4 linked regions of the Saccharomyces cerevisiae S288C genome follow. The gene in region 3 interacts genetically with the main gene of each other region. Each region holds a gene or a part of one and is shown on either strand. Other genes may lie near its edges. The genes, in order: AFT2, GDH3, YEF1 and AZR1.

Region 1 (3,807 bases), on a different chromosome or scaffold from region 3:
TGCCCTAAATATCTTCTATACTACAATTCATTTTAATTCAATATCATATTTAAGTTGAGGGCATTTAGATCTTAGAGATTCATCTAAAAATAGGAGGGGTGATGTATAGAAAATGTTCGAATATCATTCCTCTGCTTTTTTCTATATGATTATTTCCTATATGAGCTTTTACTTACTGATCTCATGATCTCAGTGCAAAAATTAGGGGACCGGCACGCCTGAAAGTTTTTTAGATAATTGAATGTTGCGGTGCATTACCTATGAAAAGATGAAGCGCACGTGAACCATATTATAATCAACAAACTTGAAGAATAAAACTTTTGAGCGCATGAAGCCATGATATATCTTATTTGTATCGACATGCTTTAAGTCCTCCGTAGCTTTAAAAAGTCTAAGGTCCAAAATCCCTCGATGGTGCTGATATCACCATTATTCATGTCCATCAGATCTTGTCACATATTTAAACGTGATACCGTTTTAATGAGTTGAAAACTAAATAATTAATATTTTGATATTAAGGCTGGGTCAATAGAATTTAATTCATTAAAATGCTCATCGTTGAAATGAAGCAACGCTTCGTAGTTGTAGTTTAACATGCCAAAATTTTCGTTTCTCTCTTTGCCTAAGTTCGTAGCAATATCTGTATCAGCAGTTGGTGCGTTGCTTTTGGTATCTTTGGAAACTTTAATGATCTCATCTCCATAAGGAGCGTCTGTTTCCATAAAATTTGGTGAAGATGTTGTTGATTCTGACAGGGCTATATCCATTTTGCTTTGTGACAAGGGCCTCGTTGGTGTTGAAGGAAGTATACAAGAAGAGGACGAAGGACCTGGTGTAGGTTCTGTCAAAAGTTCCATCAGGCCTTGGTTGTAATTTTGGATGAAATTGTCGTTGCAAAACATGTTCGTAAAATCAATTTCGTTTAAGTTCGTTAAAGAATCTTCTTTCTCTATCTTTACACAGGAATTCCGCGTTTTGAAATTGTCTAAAAATCCGGTATCATGTAGATCCGCATCCAACTTCGTTTTCAACCTTGGCCTAGGTTTCGAATTATCCATCTGTCTGGATTTTATTTTAGAAACGGAGTTTTTATTTGTTTTGAGCAAATTTTTTTTAGACGTCAAAGGGGGGTTTGATAGTGGGAGAAAAATGTTATTGAAAGCTTCAATTTCCTTGGTTAACCCACAGTCACAAGAAATAATTGGTGTGACGAGTGGTAAGTTTAGACTTGCTTTATATTCTAATTCATCAAATGTTTTGATGGCTTTTTCGTCGTTCTTCTGACGAAGATTTTCCTTAAACTTTTTATAGTCATCCGTTTTAGTAATCAAATCAAATCTCAGCTCATGTGAATGTATGTTATTCATAACAACCACGTTCCACTTCTGTAACCGCACAGAGTAGGCTGCTCTAATTCTAAATGGACATGCATGGGATCTTGAAGAGGAACCTTTGGATTTAGGGTTCAACCCTACTTTCGATCGTACTGACCTACACTTAAAAGTAACTTTGCTACTATCTGATCTTTCGATGACTATATCTATTCCTTGAGGATAGAATATTTTCTGTAGCCACGGTTTAATCTCGTGCCTGTCCTCAAAAGACGGAACTGGGTCTAAATGAATAAGTTTATTTTGGTCTTTAGACATCATAGATGCTAGATTATCGGGAGATGCTGTTAACTTCATTTTCCCTGTTTTAGACACTGATATTGGCACAGATATTATGCTCTTCATCGACTTTGCTTTCATTTCTTGGGGGTCGCTTTCTCTTGATTAATTTGCGCCAGAGTTTCTGGTCACTACAACAAATTTTTTGAATGAGTCGTGTTCACTATTATGTATAGGTCCATCAGTTTAATTTGCACAGTTTTTGCCTTAATCAAAAGAAAATCAATTCTGACTAAAAGAAAGCCACTTTACCGATCTCGGCCCACGAAACGATTTTTTTTTTTACGGTGCTTTTTTCTTTCTTTTTTTTGTTCTTTCTATTTTTTCCCTTTGCTTTTCGCACAATACCGCTTACCGTCAATCGAATAATGAATGGCTCTGGTATCGTTCAATAAAATGAGAAACGTGCTTCCAGTTCAAAACCAAACAGCTCAGACAGGTTAAAGTGAAGAAGTTGAGATATATACAAATTAATGTCACTGTTATTTTTTTTATTTACATTTCCTTAACCTTTATTTAAGAAGAATTGTTTGAATGTTATTGTCATCAGTAAGAATTGTCAGCACTGGGCTATTTACAGAGGGACAGTTACCAACAAAGAGATCTTTGACACTCCTTATACCGTATTTGGCCCTAATGTCTGAGTAGCCCACGAACAGCCACCGTTTGAAAGATATAGAGTACTTGTATACCGATAACGCTGTTCCGTAGAGATGTTGCTCGGTTATAAAAATATACTTCCCATTGTTTGCTATCTGACGTCCTGTTCCTGAAGCATGGACATGAAGTTCTTGTGTCTTGTAAAATATTGGATAAACCTCGCTGTCTGAGACGGGTGGAGAAGAATTTGAATTCTCTATGGGGTCTCTTGTTGGAATGGACAGATATCTCATGTTGGTTTCGAGTAAAATGTGATTCGTTTTAAGAAGATAGTCGATCTTTTGAACGTCTTCGTCTATTTTAAGCATAAAGTTTATTTCCTTGTTTAGCGTGGAAGCATCCGATCCTAATAGATTCTTGCAGTGGAAAATCATATCATTTCCTTTGTATAAAGTAAACTGAGGGAAATTTAAAACGGACTTGACATTTGTGGTCGTGCGTAGATCTACAGGCAAATCAATGTTGGTATGGAAACTTTGAAAACTTCCATTGCTTTGTTGGTGATCTAAAGAAGTTATTAGCAGCCCATCTTTCAAACTAAAAGAAACAACGAAATGTGGCAACAAACCTGCCCAGACATTTAATATAGATAGGTGGCTTTGATGAGAGGAAGTTGAAGGATCCTTCAAAAGCAAGTGATTGTTTACGTTTCCGTTCAAGTCGCAGTTTAGCTTTAACAACTTTCCATTCTGAAATCCAACTAAAATTTGAATGGTGTTTGAATTATAACCAAAATTGCAGTCCATACATATTATTGCGTCCGATAGCAGTAAATTCAACTGCCCGTAAAATTGCTGCTTAATAAAAATCAAATGTTGGCCGTTAAAGTCATACAGCAGTAATTTTTTGTCCTCTGCTTGATTAGAATAAAAAATCCAGTACTTGCTATTGAAATTTCTAAAACTTTTGAAACTTTGTAAATCGTGGGTAGTAAAATAGTTATTAATCCGTACAAATTCCAACCCACGGTTACTTCGAAAAACATCTTCAAGTTCCTTTTCTTCGTCACCATCATCGTCTTCTTCAGAATAGTTTCCAACATCTCCACCATCCTCTCCGACATTGCTAAAGGTAAGCTGGTCGATATGTTCCTTTATCGTATCTGGAAGCTGTGGGTAATCATTATTCACCGTGTAGTTGCCATACTTGCTCGCCCGTTCGTCAAATACGTTCTGATATCTCGTGTGGTAAAATTGCACCCCCTTCCCATCCTGGTATATTTGCATAGGTATACCCATGATTTCGTTATGATTATTTTCTTTCTTGAGGGTGTTTAGCAATACATTATTATCCTTGTGATTTCGCTTATACACATGTAGGATTTCCTCCTTATATATTACAAGTGTGTCACCATTTCCGGCCCACCAATAGCCGCCGACCTCCAAATTACCCCAAATAAAAAAAAAGAAAACTCCGGAAATGCGGGGTTGAGCTGCAATATAATAATAATATGGCAACTTTAGCCGCGCAATCGAAG
Region 2 (6,161 bases), on a different chromosome or scaffold from region 3:
TATGTTCAATGAATTTATTGTTATTCTTATTGCTGTTGTTATTATTGTTAACTGTCTATTAACTTTCAAATATCTTGACGATGGTCTTTTACCAATGACAAGGTTCAAGAATGAAGAGAACCACAAACACAGTCAGGTCCTTACTACTGCACATTACGACAGCCTTTATATACATTTTATCAAAAGCATTAACTAATGTGTTGCTAATAATCGCATCTGCCGGTCTTGTGCTACAGCCGTGGTGGTTAACCCCCTTGCTTAGTTCTCCTTATCATATCTGAGCTAACCAATGCCACTATCCCCCTTCAAATTGCCTAGGTTAATCATCTAATTACCGACATGTAATCTCCTCACCCCGCACGGCCACTACTAAGAAACTTCCGCGGAAGGGATTTCAGTTTCTTCCGTAATGCTGAACCCTATTTGCATAGTAAATTAAAAGTAGATTACACTACTACATACACAGATAGTTACGAACAAAAAGAAAATAGCGCTTACGGCTAAAAAACGTCTCCCTGGTCAAGCATTGCGTCAGCCACCATGACGAAGCTGGCAATGTTGGCCCCCTTGACCAATGATGGCAAGGTGTTTGTATTTTTTTCCGTAGAGTACTCTTGTGCGGCCTGTATGCAGTCGTTGAAGCAGTTGATCATTATCTTCTTTAGTTCTTGATCGACCCGCTCGGCAGTCCAAGTTACTTTTTGAGAATTCTGAGCCATTTCCAGACCGGATACTGCCACGCCGCCCAGGTTAGCTGCCTTTGGTGGCCCAAACCAAACTGCATCCTTTGCATTGGTTGCAGTGCTACGCGCTGTTTCGAAAACAGAAATAGCCTCGGGTGTAGAACCCATGTTAGCACCTTCGGCAACGAACTTAACGCCAGATGCCACTAGGGCCTTGGCTTCGTCACCACTGACCTCGTTTTGGGTGGCACAGGGCAAGGCAATGTCGACGTTGCTCACATGCGTCCATGGGCGTGCTCCTGCAACGTACTTCATCTTACTTTCGCTGAAAGTAGAGTATTCATCAACGATTTCCTCTAACGACTTGAAACGGATCTTGGCGGAAGCGATATCGTGAATTTGCTCAGAAGTAATGCCCGTCTCAGAGATGATGCACCCCTTCGAATCGGATAAAGACACCACAATACCACCCAGCTCGATCACTTTCAAAGCTGCATATTGCGCAACATTGCCACTTCCGGAGATTGTCACACGTTTGCCCTCAAACGACTCCTTGCCGTTTGTTGCATAATCGATCATTGCTTGCGTATAGTAAACTAAGCCGAACCCGGTGGCCTCCGGCCTGATAAGTGAGCCACCCCAGTTTAAACCCTTACCAGTCAACACACCTTCCCAGGAGTTCTTGTATGATCTGTAAGCGCCGAATAGGTAGCCAATTTCACGGCCACCGACACCAATATCTCCTGCGGGCACGTCTGTGTCCTTACCAATATGCCTGCTCAGTTCTCTCATGAACGCATAACAAATCCTTCTGATCTCGTTGTCAGACTTGCCTTTCAAGTCCACACACAGGCCACCCTTACCACCGCCCATATCTAGCCCAGTGAGCGCATTCTTGAAGATCTGTTCAAAACCCAAAAATTTTAGGATAGACAGGTTCACTGATGGGTGGAAGCGTAGGCCACCCTTGTAAGGGCCCTTGGCTGAATTGAACTGCACCCTGTATCCTTGAGCCACTTCTTGCTCGCCATTATCATTTTCCCACGTGACCCTGAATTGAATGATCCTCTCCGGGACAGAAACAATAGGTAACACTTTTTTATACTGTGGGAATTTTTCAAAAATTTTGGAATCCTCCACAGAAGAAACGATCTCATCGTAAGCCTGCTGAAACTCTGGTTCGCTTGTCATTTTTTACTTTTTACCTTTTCTTTTCGGTGACTGTTGCTACTTCCCTATATATATATATATATGTGTGTGTGTGTGTGTGTGTGGCCTATGTATGTACCTTTATATAACTGAGTTCGAACGGCTCAAAGTCAGAAGTCATTAACTGTTTATGTGAAAGTGAAATAAAAAGAAATACTCTTTTTAAGAAAGGCATCATGGTCATCACTTTTTCCATATTAACCAACGATAAAACTGTCCCTTTAATATCAATACTGCTTATCGATAAGATAAGTAATATACCCTTTAAAATCTCATTGGCTCCCTCTCCGCATTTTTTCCTTTCTTCAAAGAGCTGGGCCAATCAAGCAAACTGAACGGGAAGAAAAAGAAAAGTTGGTATAATATTTTTAGTTTTTAAGTGCAGAATATCTGTCAGCAGCCATATATATATATATATATATATATGTATATGCCTCCTATGCCTTCTTTTTAATGGGCGTTAATTACTTTGGCAAGTGCTCCGTTTTATCATACTTTACTTTTTCTTTTTTTGAAAGTTCTCAGAGACCCAACAAAACTTAAAAATAAAACAAAAAAAACAAGCTGCCACAAGTATGTTTATAGAAGAAAACTTTGAAAGCGTTTTATTTTGCAAGAATAATAGCTTCTACACTTTGAATTCTGAAACAATCCGGTGCTTGTTAGTTGTAATTTTTCTATTTAAAGTTGAAGTTCAGCTACATATAACAAATTATGCCTCACTTGATATTACCAGCTCACTTAAATTTCATCTTAACATTAAAATATTTACAGCCTAGCTTAAACTCACTCTGAAGACCTTCTGCACAATGTACAGGTACATCGTAAATAAAAAATTTGTTATGAATCTTGTGCGTCATTGAAATACATTGCCTATGAATTGGTCAATGGATTACGCAACATCAGCTTTTTAATTTAACAGTAAGTGTTTAGTAGTAACAATGATCGCCATTTTGAACGATAAATGCCTTGACGGTTTTTACAACATTGCGATTAACATTTTTACGACTTTTACAGGATTCTGCGTTCATGCATTTGGATGAATATCTCTTCCTCGCTGTTCAGCAAGAGAACAAACGACGTATTACTGGTCATTCGATCACAACATTTATGCGCCTTTCCTTCGCCAAGAAGTCAAGAAGTATTCCATGAACCGTAGTCTAAGAGATTTTTATTAGAAGATCATATAACCGCACGTCCATAGCCTGAGGGGGGGTTCTGTGGAAAGCTAAAGATATCGCACTTATTGAAAAATATAGGCGATACATAAATTTCTCAAAGTAAGTAAACAATAGTTTAAACCCAAATTTACACCGACAGTGCCGCTGCTAGCTTAAACAGGAATTGACCATTTATTGTAATTCCATATGCCAAGTAGGCTTTTCATTTTTGCATCTTCAATACATTAAAGTTAACGTATACTCGACAAGTGGTGCATTGAAAAAAAAAAATCGAATTTTCTATGTGGAAAATACACCCAAAAATGTTCTTCAGAATGTATACTTCGCTAAACCAATTAATGTGCCTATGCAAAAACTTTGAACAAATCAAGAAATTTTTTTGGACATGGATTGACCAGAGATTGACGTAACTCATGCCCTGTCAATGATTTTAGCTTGTGCGACGAAACGTACTTCTCTGAGAAAATCCAGACGAAAAAAAATGACACCAAAATCCCGTCATTATTTACGTTCGAAAAGAAAAAAGTAGGCAATATTTCCCTTTTCGTTTCTTGCCTCTTCTTATGTCATAAGAAACTTACGTGATAAACCAATCGAAAAAGGAAACAAGAAAAAGACAAAAAGGGAAAGCTCTGATGCACCATTAATCTGGTGAAAAAGTAGTGCGAAGGCAACTATTCCATGAACTGATTTTCATTGTAGAAACAATCATTATTGTTTTCTCAAAATTTCTATAATTTTATTGATTAAATATCAGCACCTCCATAACCACCTTGATATGCTCTGATAGACAATCAATGCATAGCTAGTAAACCGAAAATAAACTACAAAAACGTGGATGAAAAATATACGGTTTACTATTCCTTAACTTAATATCAGTAACAGACCGGCTGGAACAAATTTTTCACGAGTAAAAATTTGGTCAAGCAGTTATAGTGTAGTGTCTTCAAAGTATTTTTACCGTATTGTAACTTTTCAATTTTCCAGCCACACGTGAAGTAAGCTGCAAACTAACAAGTGTTTGCAGCGCTCTAGGGAGTTTTCTCTATGACGTAACTTGGCTGCCTTTTCTTCAAAAAAAAAAGGATCTAATCTCTGAAAAACGGAGTTGCCTTCCAAGTGCAGCAAGCTTGGCAGGTATGATTTCAAAAACCATGAGAAAAAAAGCGTATATAGTTACCTTGCTGAAATGCCGGTATATTTTGATTGCACCCAGCTGGGACATGTGAATAAGTCTCAAAAGTGGAACGAATTACCTCAAAGCCATTATTTTTTGAAAATGCATCAATCATATTTTTGTGTGACAGACTTACTGCACACTGGTTTTAAAGGACGTATAAGAATTAAGTATAACTAACCAATAAATACTTTTAAGGTTTAAAATATTCACAACACATCCCGTCAGTGTCCGCAACAAAAAGTGGCTGTGAAATTAGGTATCTCTTGTTTACTTTCGAGATCAGAGGTCACATAGGGCACTCAAAAGGGTAGTCAGCTCACTTTAGTATTTAAGATACACCGACGCCATGTAAGAGGCAGGAACCGAAAAAAATATACAGCACCTGCCTGCTCCTTTTTCAGGGAATACCGTGCGATGTCAAATTTTTTGCTGCTTTGTAAGCTAACCTTAATTTTAGTCGGCTGACAAAATTCACTTTCCTATGGCTATTTCTGTGTTTTTTTTGTATCGCGCTTACTAGGTGAAAACTTTATTTGACATTAAAGTTACATGCGTTTTTCTTCTTCCGGCCCAAAAAATGCAACTATAGTGTTCTAGAATTTTTTAGTCGTGCACCAAAATTATGCATTGAGAAAGCACTAAAAAGGACGGAGTAGTGATTTTTTCAATGTCTCTATCAATTTTCGGATCTGTCGCTAAAACTAGTTTAAGTTTCTGGCGACCCTCCTGGAATGCTTACCTTGAGCGATGGGTACTTTCCTTCATAGGTTATTCAACATTGCACGATATACAGAAAATATATTCTCTGTAAGGATATCGTACCACATTTCAGAGCGCATTAATGCATGTAAAGGAAAGGTACATCACACACGACCACAGATTTTTTAAAAACTTTTCTTTTTCTTCTTTGTTCCTGACAATTCAGATGGCATAAAGAAAACGTTCGCAGTCAGATCAATTAGAAAGCATAACTCAAAATCTATCGGGTGGTATAACACAGAAATTTAAGCAGCTAAAAAATTTTTTCTCTTTTAAAGGTATTCGATTTCCTCCTTTGCTAACACATTATCCTGCCAAATTATTCTACCTTCTTATATATTACATAAAATTCGATGACACTAAAAGTCCATTAATAACATAACGTTCTTCCTTCTTATTTACAGGTACGCTCTTTAAATTGCAATTTAAAAAGAACAATTGTACAATAAAAGCCCCAAAAATGTCTCTGGCACATTATTGTTTACTACTAGCCATCGTCACATTGCTGGGATTAACTAATGTTGTCTCTGCGACTACAGCGGCATGCCTGCCAGCAAACTCAAGGAAGAATGGTATGAATGTAAACTTTTACCAGTATTCATTGAGAGATTCCTCCACATATTCGAATGCAGCATATATGGCTTATGGATATGCCTCAAAAACTAAACTGGGTTCTGTCGGAGGACAAACTGATATCTCGATTGATTATAATATTCCTTGTGTTAGTTCATCAGGCACATTTCCTTGTCCTCAAGAAGATTTATATGGTAATTGGGGATGCAAAGGAATTGGTGCTTGTTCTAATAATCCAATAATTGCATACTGGAGTACTGATTTATTTGGTTTCTATACTACCCCAACAAACGTAACCCTAGAAATGACAGGTTATTTTTTACCACCACAGACGGGTTCTTACACATTCAAGTTTGCTACAGTTGACGACTCTGCAATTCTATCAGTCGGTGGTAGCATTGCGTTCGAATGTTGTGCACAAGAACAACCTCCCATCACGTCGACTAACTTCACCATCAATGGTATCAAGCCATGGAATGGAAGTCCCCCTGATAATATTACAGGGACTGTCTACATGTATGCTGGTTTCTATTATCCAATGAAGATTGTTTACTCAAATGCCGTTGCCTGGGGTAC
Region 3 (6,318 bases):
TTACAAAGTTTTGTACGCAGTGGTTCTTTCTACAGTGCTCCGCAACCTGCAAACTCCTTACAGAACAATATCAATGGCAATGAAACCGAGAACATTAGTCCAAGGATATCAAGTGACTTCAATTTATTGGTGCCAAACTTGAGCCCACGACTCTCAAACGATGTGCCCATTGTTCCAGGCAATAACACTACTTTAACACCTTCACACTCGAACATATTAACAATGAACCATCAACCAACGGCGGATAACATTACACGAAGATCTTTCCATGCCTCTTCACCACCTTTCAACTCCATATGGAATTCAAATACAAATCAACTTTCTCCTCCATTGGAGGAGCAGTATCACCTCGATGTGCCTGTGGGTCCAAAGGTTCCCGCTAAAGAACCAAGCCCTAAGCCTTCTCACAAGAGGAACCAAAGTAACAGCAGCATTTCTTCTGCATGGTCCAAGTTTAAGCACAAGTCTGCATCATCACCTGCTAATGCGGACACGGATATTCAAGATTCATCAACTCCATCAACTAGTCCAAGCGGTAGAAGAATGTCAAAACTGTTGTCCAAGAGCGGTATGAATAATCTATTTAACCCGCACAGTCACGACTCATGAACAATATTATAATACTTCCAGGTCGTGTATATATGTAGATATATAAATTATGAAACATAATATATGAAAGCAGTTTGAGCTTATTCTTAATCATCAATAGGGTAACGGTATTAATCTCATTTTTTCTTTTTTTTTTTCTTTTTATTTTGGCGTCTCGTCTCAATTTCATTTTTCCCATCTTTTTACAACTTCAATATGAAAAACATAACACATGAAAAATAACTGTCAACATTAATAATATTCCTTGCATAGTGCTTCGATTTTCCAAATATAAAAACAGTTTCTTTTACAAGCTTATTTAATTTTGGTTTTAAGGAGAAAGCACTAATAAAAAGGGCAAGGACTGCAATCAACAATCTTTATTGGCGAACAGTTAAGGGTCCTCTCGAGAAGAAACATTAAGACATCATCGCACAAAAAACATGGCGCCCATCTTTAGAAATTACCGGTTCGCTATCGGTGCTTTTGCCGTTATTATGCTCATTTTGTTGATTAAAACATCTTCCATCGGTCCACCTTCTATTGCACGTACAGTTACTCCTAATGCTAGTATTCCCAAAACTCCGGAGGACATCTCTATCTTGCCCGTCAATGATGAACCAGGTTACCTTCAAGATTCGAAGACTGAACAAAACTATCCTGAGCTTGCCGATGCTGTGAAGTCACAAACAAGTCAAACATGCAGCGAAGAACATAAGTATGTTATCATGATCGATGCCGGCTCTACCGGTTCCCGAGTACATATATACAAGTTTGACGTCTGTACTTCCCCACCTACATTACTTGATGAAAAATTCGACATGTTAGAGCCTGGTTTATCTTCTTTCGATACCGATTCCGTTGGTGCCGCTAACTCCCTTGACCCATTACTGAAAGTAGCAATGAACTATGTCCCTATTAAGGCAAGAAGTTGTACTCCCGTTGCGGTGAAAGCTACTGCAGGCCTAAGACTCTTGGGTGATGCCAAATCTTCAAAAATTTTGAGCGCTGTAAGGGATCATTTGGAGAAGGACTATCCTTTCCCAGTTGTCGAAGGTGATGGTGTTTCCATCATGGGCGGTGATGAAGAAGGTGTCTTCGCCTGGATTACTACAAACTACCTATTAGGTAATATCGGTGCTAATGGCCCCAAGTTACCTACTGCTGCCGTTTTTGACTTAGGCGGAGGGTCTACACAAATTGTTTTTGAGCCTACTTTCCCAATAAATGAAAAAATGGTCGATGGTGAGCATAAATTTGATTTGAAGTTTGGTGATGAAAATTACACCTTGTACCAATTTTCTCATCTAGGTTACGGTTTGAAGGAAGGAAGAAATAAAGTTAACTCTGTTCTTGTGGAAAATGCATTAAAAGACGGCAAAATATTGAAGGGTGATAACACTAAGACTCATCAATTGTCATCTCCATGCCTACCGCCTAAAGTTAATGCCACAAATGAAAAGGTTACATTAGAATCCAAGGAAACTTATACCATTGACTTTATAGGGCCGGACGAGCCAAGTGGTGCACAATGTAGATTTCTGACTGATGAAATTTTGAATAAAGATGCTCAGTGCCAGTCTCCACCATGCTCTTTCAATGGGGTTCACCAACCTTCTTTAGTTCGTACATTCAAAGAATCGAACGATATCTATATTTTCTCTTATTTCTACGACAGAACCCGTCCATTGGGTATGCCCTTGTCCTTTACTTTGAATGAATTGAACGATTTGGCAAGAATAGTGTGTAAAGGCGAAGAAACTTGGAATAGTGTCTTCAGTGGCATTGCGGGGTCCCTAGATGAATTGGAAAGTGACTCGCACTTCTGTTTGGACTTATCTTTTCAAGTGTCCTTATTACATACGGGATATGACATTCCATTACAAAGAGAATTGAGAACTGGAAAGAAAATTGCCAATAAAGAAATCGGTTGGTGTTTAGGTGCGTCATTACCATTGTTGAAAGCTGATAACTGGAAATGTAAAATTCAATCAGCTTGAATAAGAACATGGACACCGCTTTTCGTCCCATGTATATTAAGGAAGAGGAGATTGCGGTGATATGTATTCTGTTATATGTCCTATTCTATAACCCTTGAACAATATGTAAACGATTTTTACGTTATGAAAATCACTATTATCCCCACAATAGTTTATTATAACACCGCCGCCAAGACAGGGGATTGAAAAGGCCTTCCGAGGTTTATCCATTTTTGGTAAAAGCCCGCCACGCCTTCAGGTGTTTGAGTATGAACTGGAAGAGTTATCTGTTAGGACCTCATAATCTTGAACATATGAGATAATTTAATATACTTTTGTTATGGATTGTTCCGTTGTTTTAAGACTATATGGCTTTGTTTTAGTTTTAGGGTGATTGTGGATATCACACCGGTCCTCAAGAAAATCGAAAACAAAAGGATAATCGGACTTATCTGGTGATCGAAGAAACTGCATTTCAGGTCGTTTAATAAACTGCTAGCTATTGATATTATATATATAAATAAACCTACAATCAGGTTAGTGTATTCATCTCACTTCTATAGCGTTGTGAAAGGGAAATGGAAATAGTGCAATCTCAATAAATCTGCTTACGTGACATTTTTTACTAAAAGAGAATATGAAAACTGATAGATTACTGATTAACGCTTCCCCGGAGACATGTACCAAGGGAGATGCTGAGATGGATACTATGGATACTATTGACAGAATGACATCAGTTAAAGTTTTAGCGGAAGGCAAGGTATTAAGCAACTTCGAAGAACCGGGCTTAATGAGGTGCGGTTATCATGATGCAAAAAACTGGGTCAGAAGATTATCGAGCGAAACAATTGTCGGTGAGGACACGAGTAATTTATACCCATTTTATGTTGATACTGCATACGATGTAAGGCGTTTGAGAAAGGATCTTATAAATGCTAAGGTTGACTTGCAGGTTGAAAACCTGATAATAATCTGCAATATTAATGATATTTCCACTGTATTTCTCATGAGAGAAGTGGTGGAATGGATCTTACGCAATTTCCATTCAATAACTGTATATGTACAAGATATTTTTAAAAAGTCAACTCAGTTTGCTGTTGGTGACCTCTGCAAAGACAGCAATTGCAGTAAAAACAGAGTAAAGTATTGGTCAAAAGAATTTGTTAAAAAACACGATTCATTCTTTGACTTGATGATTACACTAGGGGGTGATGGAACTGTCCTTTTTGCTTCATCTATATTCACGAAAGATGTTCCGCCGATTGTTCCATTTGCCCTTGGATCATTAGGATTTCTAACAAATTTTGAATTTCAAAATTTCAAAGAAACGTTGAAACATATCTTAACAGATGAGGTTCGTATTAATTTACGAATGAGGTTGCAATGCAAACTCTACCGTAGAAATAAACCAGAAATTGATGCCGCAACTGGGAGAAAAATATGTTACATCGATTTCATCTCCGAACATCACGTATTGAACGAAGTAACCATAGATAGAGGTCCAGCTCCTTGTTTATCCCTATTAGAACTCTATGGAAACGACTCACTAATGACTAAGGTTCAGGGAGATGGATTGATTGTTGCCACGCCTACGGGATCCACGGCATACTCATTGAGTGCAGGAGGCTCTTTAATATCGCCAAGCGTAAATGCCATAGCGGTGACGCCTATATGTCCTCATACTTTGAGCTTTAGGCCTATAATTTTACCAGATAGCATGGAATTAAAAGTTAGAGTAGATATGAACTCAAGAGGGACGTCGTGGGTGAATTTTGACGGAAAAGATAGAGTTGAATTGAAACAGGGTGACTATGTTGTGATAACTGCAAGCCCCTATTCGGTACCGACTATCGAGTCATCTGCCAGTGAATTTTTTGAAAGTATCAGTAAAAATCTTAATTGGAATGACCGCGAAGAGCAGAAGCCATTTGCACATATTCTCTCGCCAAAAAATCAAGAAAAATATAGATTAGACTCATCGAAAAATGGAAACGACACCATAAGTAATCCCCTCGAGAGTTCATGCATAAGCTCAGATGCACAAGATGAGGAGAGGAAATCCGTAACGGAAACAGAAACAGAAATAGTTGTTGAACGGACTCGTCAGGCTCATTTTGCAATCTAACGATTTCCCACATCCTGCGTTTCCGTAGTCAAGGGTTCATAATGGATGATGAGCCTGTAAACAGCTTTGTATTTACCTCTTTTACTTCAAGAATGCTCTTGCGTCGTTTGCAGTGTCGAAGAAGATCCAGTAGAGCTATACAAAATGGAGAAATGAAACAGTTGAACCAGAGCGCCGCATTTGGCAGGTAGTTTCGCTAAATTTCCTCATGCGCGTTTGTAATTATGCTAGTTAACCATATGATAAGGTTGCCTAACTTGCAGTCACCGGAAGGTTATTTCCGGAATGGTGCAGAATAATTTTTAAAATAGTAGCATATATTTCGTTCCAATTCCCAAATAGGGAATTATAATTATGACAGATAAATTCCCGATTAGGAAGAAGCGCGAAAATTCTTGAAAAACTTTTTTCAACCTCGAAGAAAATCGTCGTCCTTCGAAGATTTAGTGGGAATCTTCAAGGTGGATAGTTTCCAAATTAAAACTGCAGAAGAGGCTTTTAAAACATGCCTGAGGTATAAAAAGAACAACATTCCTGGTGATTATGGTTTCTGTTGGACCCTGTTCCCTTTGTAAAACTTCTATTTATTGTCCTGCAAATAAGCTAATTATATAATTAATAATGGCAATCGTTAATAGTTGGCTAATTTGTTTAGTCAGTATTTTTTCCTTCGTGGTACGTGTAGAGGCCGCTACATTTTGCAATGCAACTCAAGCATGTCCCGAAGATAAACCATGTTGCTCACAATATGGTGAATGTGGTACTGGTCAATATTGTCTGAACAACTGTGATGTAAGATATTCGTTTAGTCATGATTCATGTATGCCTGTACCTATCTGCAAGAGTTCATCCACTAAATTCAAAGATTATTCCTCTAAGTTGGGGAATGCTAACACTTTCTTAGGAAATGTTAGTGAGGCTGATTGGTTGTATACTGGTGACGTTTTGGATTATGATGATGAAGAAAGTTTAATTTTGGCGATGCCCAAGAACAGTGGTGGTACCGTTCTTTCCTCCACGAGGGCTGTTTGGTATGGTAAGGTCAGTGCTAGAATAAAGACGTCACATCTTGCTGGTGTGGTCACTGGGTTCATTCTGTATTCCGGCGCAGGTGATGAACTTGATTACGAATTCGTCGGTGCTGATCTAGAAACTGCTCAAACCAATTTCTATTGGGAAAGTGTTTTGAACTACACGAATTCTGCCAATATTTCCACTACTGATACATTTGAAAACTACCATACTTACGAATTAGATTGGCACGAAGATTATGTAACATGGTCCATCGATGGTGTCGTCGGTAGAACCTTGTACAAGAACGAAACTTATAACGCCACCACCCAAAAATATCAATACCCACAAACCCCATCCAAGGTGGATATTTCCATTTGGCCAGGTGGTAATTCTACCAACGCTCCAGGAACCATTGCATGGTCTGGTGGTGAAATTAATTGGGACGCATCCGATATCAGCAACCCAGGATATTATTATGCTATTGTCAATGAAGTTAATATCACATGTTATGATCCACCAAGCGATACCAAGAAGAATGGTACTTCTGCTTATGTGTATACTTCGTCCAGTGAATTTTTGGCCAAAGACATTGCTATTACCGATGATGAGGTC
Region 4 (3,939 bases), on a different chromosome or scaffold from region 3:
TCCAAATACTTGGGCCTCCATAGGCCCTTCGGTATATAATTTTTCAAGGGATGGCTCGAACCATTGGCACGAGAGTGGTCTGGTGTATTCGTTTCTGTATTGGTTGTTTCAAAAATTTGGAAAATATGCAATGTTTGCTTATTTGACAATACGGCCAACTTACTACCATTGGGGCTGAAACTCATCTCGTAAATATCCGCCTTGTCCACCCCTCTTCTAAATTCTTTGATTAAAGTACCGTTATGCGTACTGAAGATTCTTATAAGTGTACCCTGGACGGAACATGTTGCTACCATGGTGCCTTGACGGTTCAGTCTAACCAGTTTGATGGGATTTTTATGTGCTTTAATGATGGAAGTGGGCAAAAGCGCTGATTCCTTCGGGTTTTGTGAATTATATTTTATTTGTGATAGGTCGGCTACTTGAATTTGGCCTACGCATTTATTCGATGGGAATGCAATGATTTCTAAGATTTTAGACTGTGACTGCGATGCTTGCGACTGGAGATGTTTGCTGCTACAAACGACATAGTCCACTGATCCATTGGGAGGGATATCCAAAATAGGACAAATTCTTTGAGGATTGGTTTGAAATTGGAAGATCTCTATTGTGTTCTCCAGGACTACCACAATATGAATCCTAGATAAAAACACGTCTTTAATGGAAGACATAAACTTCAAAGTAATCGTTTCCTTTTGCAAAAGATCATCCCAGATGATCAGTTTATTTAGAGCATGCCTTGGTCGTTTACCACCTCCGACTAGTGCGATGTAATTCGTACGATAAAGCATCCTGGTATAGCCAATCCCAGTGCCCCTGGATTGGTTGGTCGCAGACTCTTTAAATGTTTTCGATAGCTTACTAGTCAATGGATCTGTATTGAAAATACGAAATCCATTCTCTAACGCCACGCTGAAACACGAATCATCTTGGTTAAACGAAACGCTCAAAAATTTTGGTTTCCTCCTGTTGTTGACTGCCTCCCTTATAGGTCGACGAACATCCATCTGCTAGTTATGTATGCTTATAGTTGTCCTCTAATAATCGCTGCCTTTCCAGATCTTCTGGTTTCTCTTCCCTTTAACAATAGCCCCCGCAGTACGTATTACTAAGGTAAATAAATATAACCGGCTTTACAAGCCAGAAAGCCGTGATCACGTGATTATCAATTTCTTTATTTCATTTCGCTCAGATACTGCCAAAAGCCCCTGATCTTGAACACAAAGGTAAACAACGTTAATATGAACCTGGCTATCATCATTAGGATAGGCTCATTTTCTCTTTTTAACTCAGGCCCCTTTCTTGCACTGTTACCATAGGATCTTACCAATTTGCATTATTTCCGCCAACTAGCGGATATCCGCTGTATTTCCGCGCTTCTATATGCTATGGCTGGAAATACAATAAAAAGTGTCAAGCAGAACCACTACATTAATTTAAAGAAAAATGTCTTATATCAAAGAATCGGCACTGTATCAATTGATTATATATAATGCTAGAGTTTCCGTACCCTCTTGCAACGTCCTTTAAATCTTGTATCTTTTCTTCTACAATTGTAGTAACACCACGTCTACATTAGTATCTAAATTGCAGCCCAATGAAAGGCGAACCTAAGACTTACAGCATGAGCGACCTCTCATACTACGGTGAGAAAGCACAACAACAGAACGAGAAACAGCAAAAACAATATGTTGTGAGACGAAATTCTACGCAGTCAACATCAAAACAAAACGTGAGCGTGGTGCTCGAGGACAACGCCAGCGAAAGTAATGAACTACCTAAAGGGTTTATCTTGTACGCATCTTTGATAGCATTGGCTTTGTCGCTGTTTCTGGCAGCCTTGGATATCATGATAGTTTCTACAATCATTGAAGAAGTAGCTAAACAGTTTGGATCGTACTCTGAGATCGGGTGGTTATTTACCGGGTATAGCTTACCAAACGCTCTGTTGGCGTTGATATGGGGAAGAATTGCCACACCTATCGGATTCAAGGAGACCATGCTATTTGCTATTGTCATTTTTGAAATCGGGTCGCTGATCTCTGCTTTAGCAAATTCAATGAGTATGCTCATTGGTGGTAGAGTTATTGCTGGAGTCGGCGGTTGTGGTATTCAAAGTTTATCGTTCGTCATTGGTTCAACCCTGGTAGAGGAGTCGCAGAGAGGCATACTAATTGCTGTTTTGAGTTGTTCGTTTGCTATTGCATCTGTTGTTGGGCCTTTCCTTGGAGGAGTTTTCACCTCCAGCGTCACATGGAGATGGTGCTTCTATGTTAATTTACCGATCGGTGGCCTAGCATTTTTCTTATTCCTGTTCTTTTATAACCCAGGTTTAAGTACATTTCAAGAGACAATGGATAACATCCGCAAATTTCCATCACAGTTTATCGAAATTGTTCGGAATGTAGCATATCATTTATTGAAAATCAAAGGGTTTAGCAAACTTAATGGGTGGAGAAAGCCGTTCATGGAATTGATTTTCATGTATGATATTATCGAGTTTGTGTTTTGTTCAGCTGGATTCACATGTATTCTATTGGCTTTCACATTTGGCGGTAACCGGTATGCTTGGAACTCTGCATCCATCATTATTCTTTTCATCATCGGTATAGTCCTGGTAGTGTTAGCAGGTATCTATGATTTCCTTGTCTTCCCCAAATTTAATATAGTGAAAGCAACACCACATTACCAACCATTAATGTCATGGACAAATATCAAGAAACCAGGTATTTTCACGGTTAATATAGCCTTGTTTCTCACTTGTGCAGGATATATCAGTCAGTTTACGTATATTGTGCAATACTTCCAATTAATTTACAATGATTCCGCCTGGAGAGCCGCTGTACACCTGGTTGCTTGCATTATTTCTACAGTCGTTACAGCAATACTTTGCGGTGCTATCACCGACAAAACCCGCCAAATCAAACCGATTATTGTTATTTCAAGCATTTTTGGTGTTGTTGGTGCGGGTATATTAACCCTATTGAACAATAATGCCAATAACTCTGCTCACATCGGCCTTTTGATATTACCTGGCGTTGCTTTCGGTGGTTTGGCACAAAGTTCCATGCTCGCTTCTCAAATTCAGTTAGACAAGAAGAGCCCAACTTTTCGATCAGATTTTGTCTCTATTACCACTTTTAACACATTTTGCAAAAATCTAGGTCAAGCACTGGGAGGTGTCATCTCTAACACTGTTTTCAGTGCTGCTGCTATCAAGAAATTAACCAAGGCTAATATTCAGCTCCCAGATGGTACCACGGTAGACAATCTGGTAATCTATAGGCAGACCAATTTCGATGGCTCTCATTCCAAATTGGGCAATATAATTTCTGAATCTCTCACTGACGTCTTTTACATGGCATTAGGATTTTATGCATTATCTCTCATTTTTGCTGTTTTTGCTTCAAATAAGAAAGTCACAGCAAGCCTGAGATAAGTTAAGCACGATTTAGAAGGTGGCGAGCCTCAAAGTGTAAAGCTGCAGAAAAAATAAACATGACTTTTAGTAATTGGCTGTTTAGCTTGCTGAATTGTGTACCACAACTAACGATAACAGTAAGAGGGTAATCCGAGACAGTATGAGTACAGCTATTAAATAGTTAATTTAGATTTTTATACTGGTATGATAAACGACGTTCATATAGCAAGAGCGTCAATGCCTCTATGTCACCTTCAATAGAAGTTTCCCTTTTTATTTCGACTTTTGTTTTTGTATTTTTCGGCGTCTGCCTTGTTCCATTTTTAAGGCGCCAAAAATAAAATAAAATGATGAACGATTAGTACTCAAAGAACACTTTAATCCTTGGAAACAAAAAAATAAAAAATCAAAAGTTGAAGGAAGGTCAAATTTTCTTCCTCCAACGATAATAATACTTGCTTATATAACTCTTTTAAAGTTTTACAAAACTTTGGATCAGAAAAAAAGAAAAAAATATG

The links.
Region 1: mutations in YEF1 (region 3) and AFT2 together harm fitness more than expected from each alone (negative genetic interaction), as found in Saccharomyces cerevisiae (one large-scale study listed by BioGRID).
Region 2: mutations in YEF1 (region 3) and GDH3 together harm fitness more than expected from each alone (negative genetic interaction), as found in Saccharomyces cerevisiae (one large-scale study listed by BioGRID).
Region 4: mutations in YEF1 (region 3) and AZR1 together harm fitness more than expected from each alone (negative genetic interaction), as found in Saccharomyces cerevisiae (one large-scale study listed by BioGRID).

What each region holds. Positions count from the first base shown.
Region 1 is NC_001148.4:167,588-171,394, forward strand, and holds AFT2 (Aft2p), read right to left. Parts: upstream 1,752-3,807; coding exon 501-1,751; downstream 1-500. Other genes in the region: YIG1 (Yig1p), read right to left, coding at 2,183-3,568. UniProt on the Saccharomyces cerevisiae protein: Transcription factor required for iron homeostasis and resistance to oxidative stress. With AFT1, activates the gene expression in response to low-iron conditions, also called iron regulon.
Region 2 is NC_001133.9:27,280-33,440, reverse strand, and holds GDH3 (glutamate dehydrogenase (NADP(+)) GDH3), read right to left. Parts: upstream 1,875-6,161; coding exon 501-1,874; downstream 1-500. Other genes in the region: flocculin FLO9, read left to right, coding at 5,473-6,161.
Region 3 is NC_001137.3:72,740-79,057, forward strand, and holds YEF1 (NADH/NAD(+) kinase), read left to right. Parts: upstream 1-3,204; coding exon 3,205-4,692; downstream 4,693-6,318. Other genes in the region: GTA1 (Gta1p), read left to right, coding at 1-609; GDA1 (guanosine diphosphatase), read left to right, coding at 1,032-2,588; chitin transglycosylase UTR2, read left to right, coding at 5,314-6,318. UniProt on the Saccharomyces cerevisiae protein: ATP-NADH kinase with a low phosphorylation activity of both NADH and NAD(+) to produce NADP and NADPH by using ATP.
Region 4 is NC_001139.9:941,209-945,147, forward strand, and holds AZR1 (azole transporter), read left to right. Parts: upstream 1-1,597; coding exon 1,598-3,439; downstream 3,440-3,939. Other genes in the region: phosphatidylinositol-3,5-bisphosphate binding protein HSV2, read right to left, coding at 1-1,007; AMA1 (Ama1p), read left to right, coding at 3,937-3,939. UniProt on the Saccharomyces cerevisiae protein: Transporter protein required for adaptation to high stress imposed by low-chain organic acids, in particular by acetic acid, and for resistance to azoles, especially to ketoconazole and fluconazole.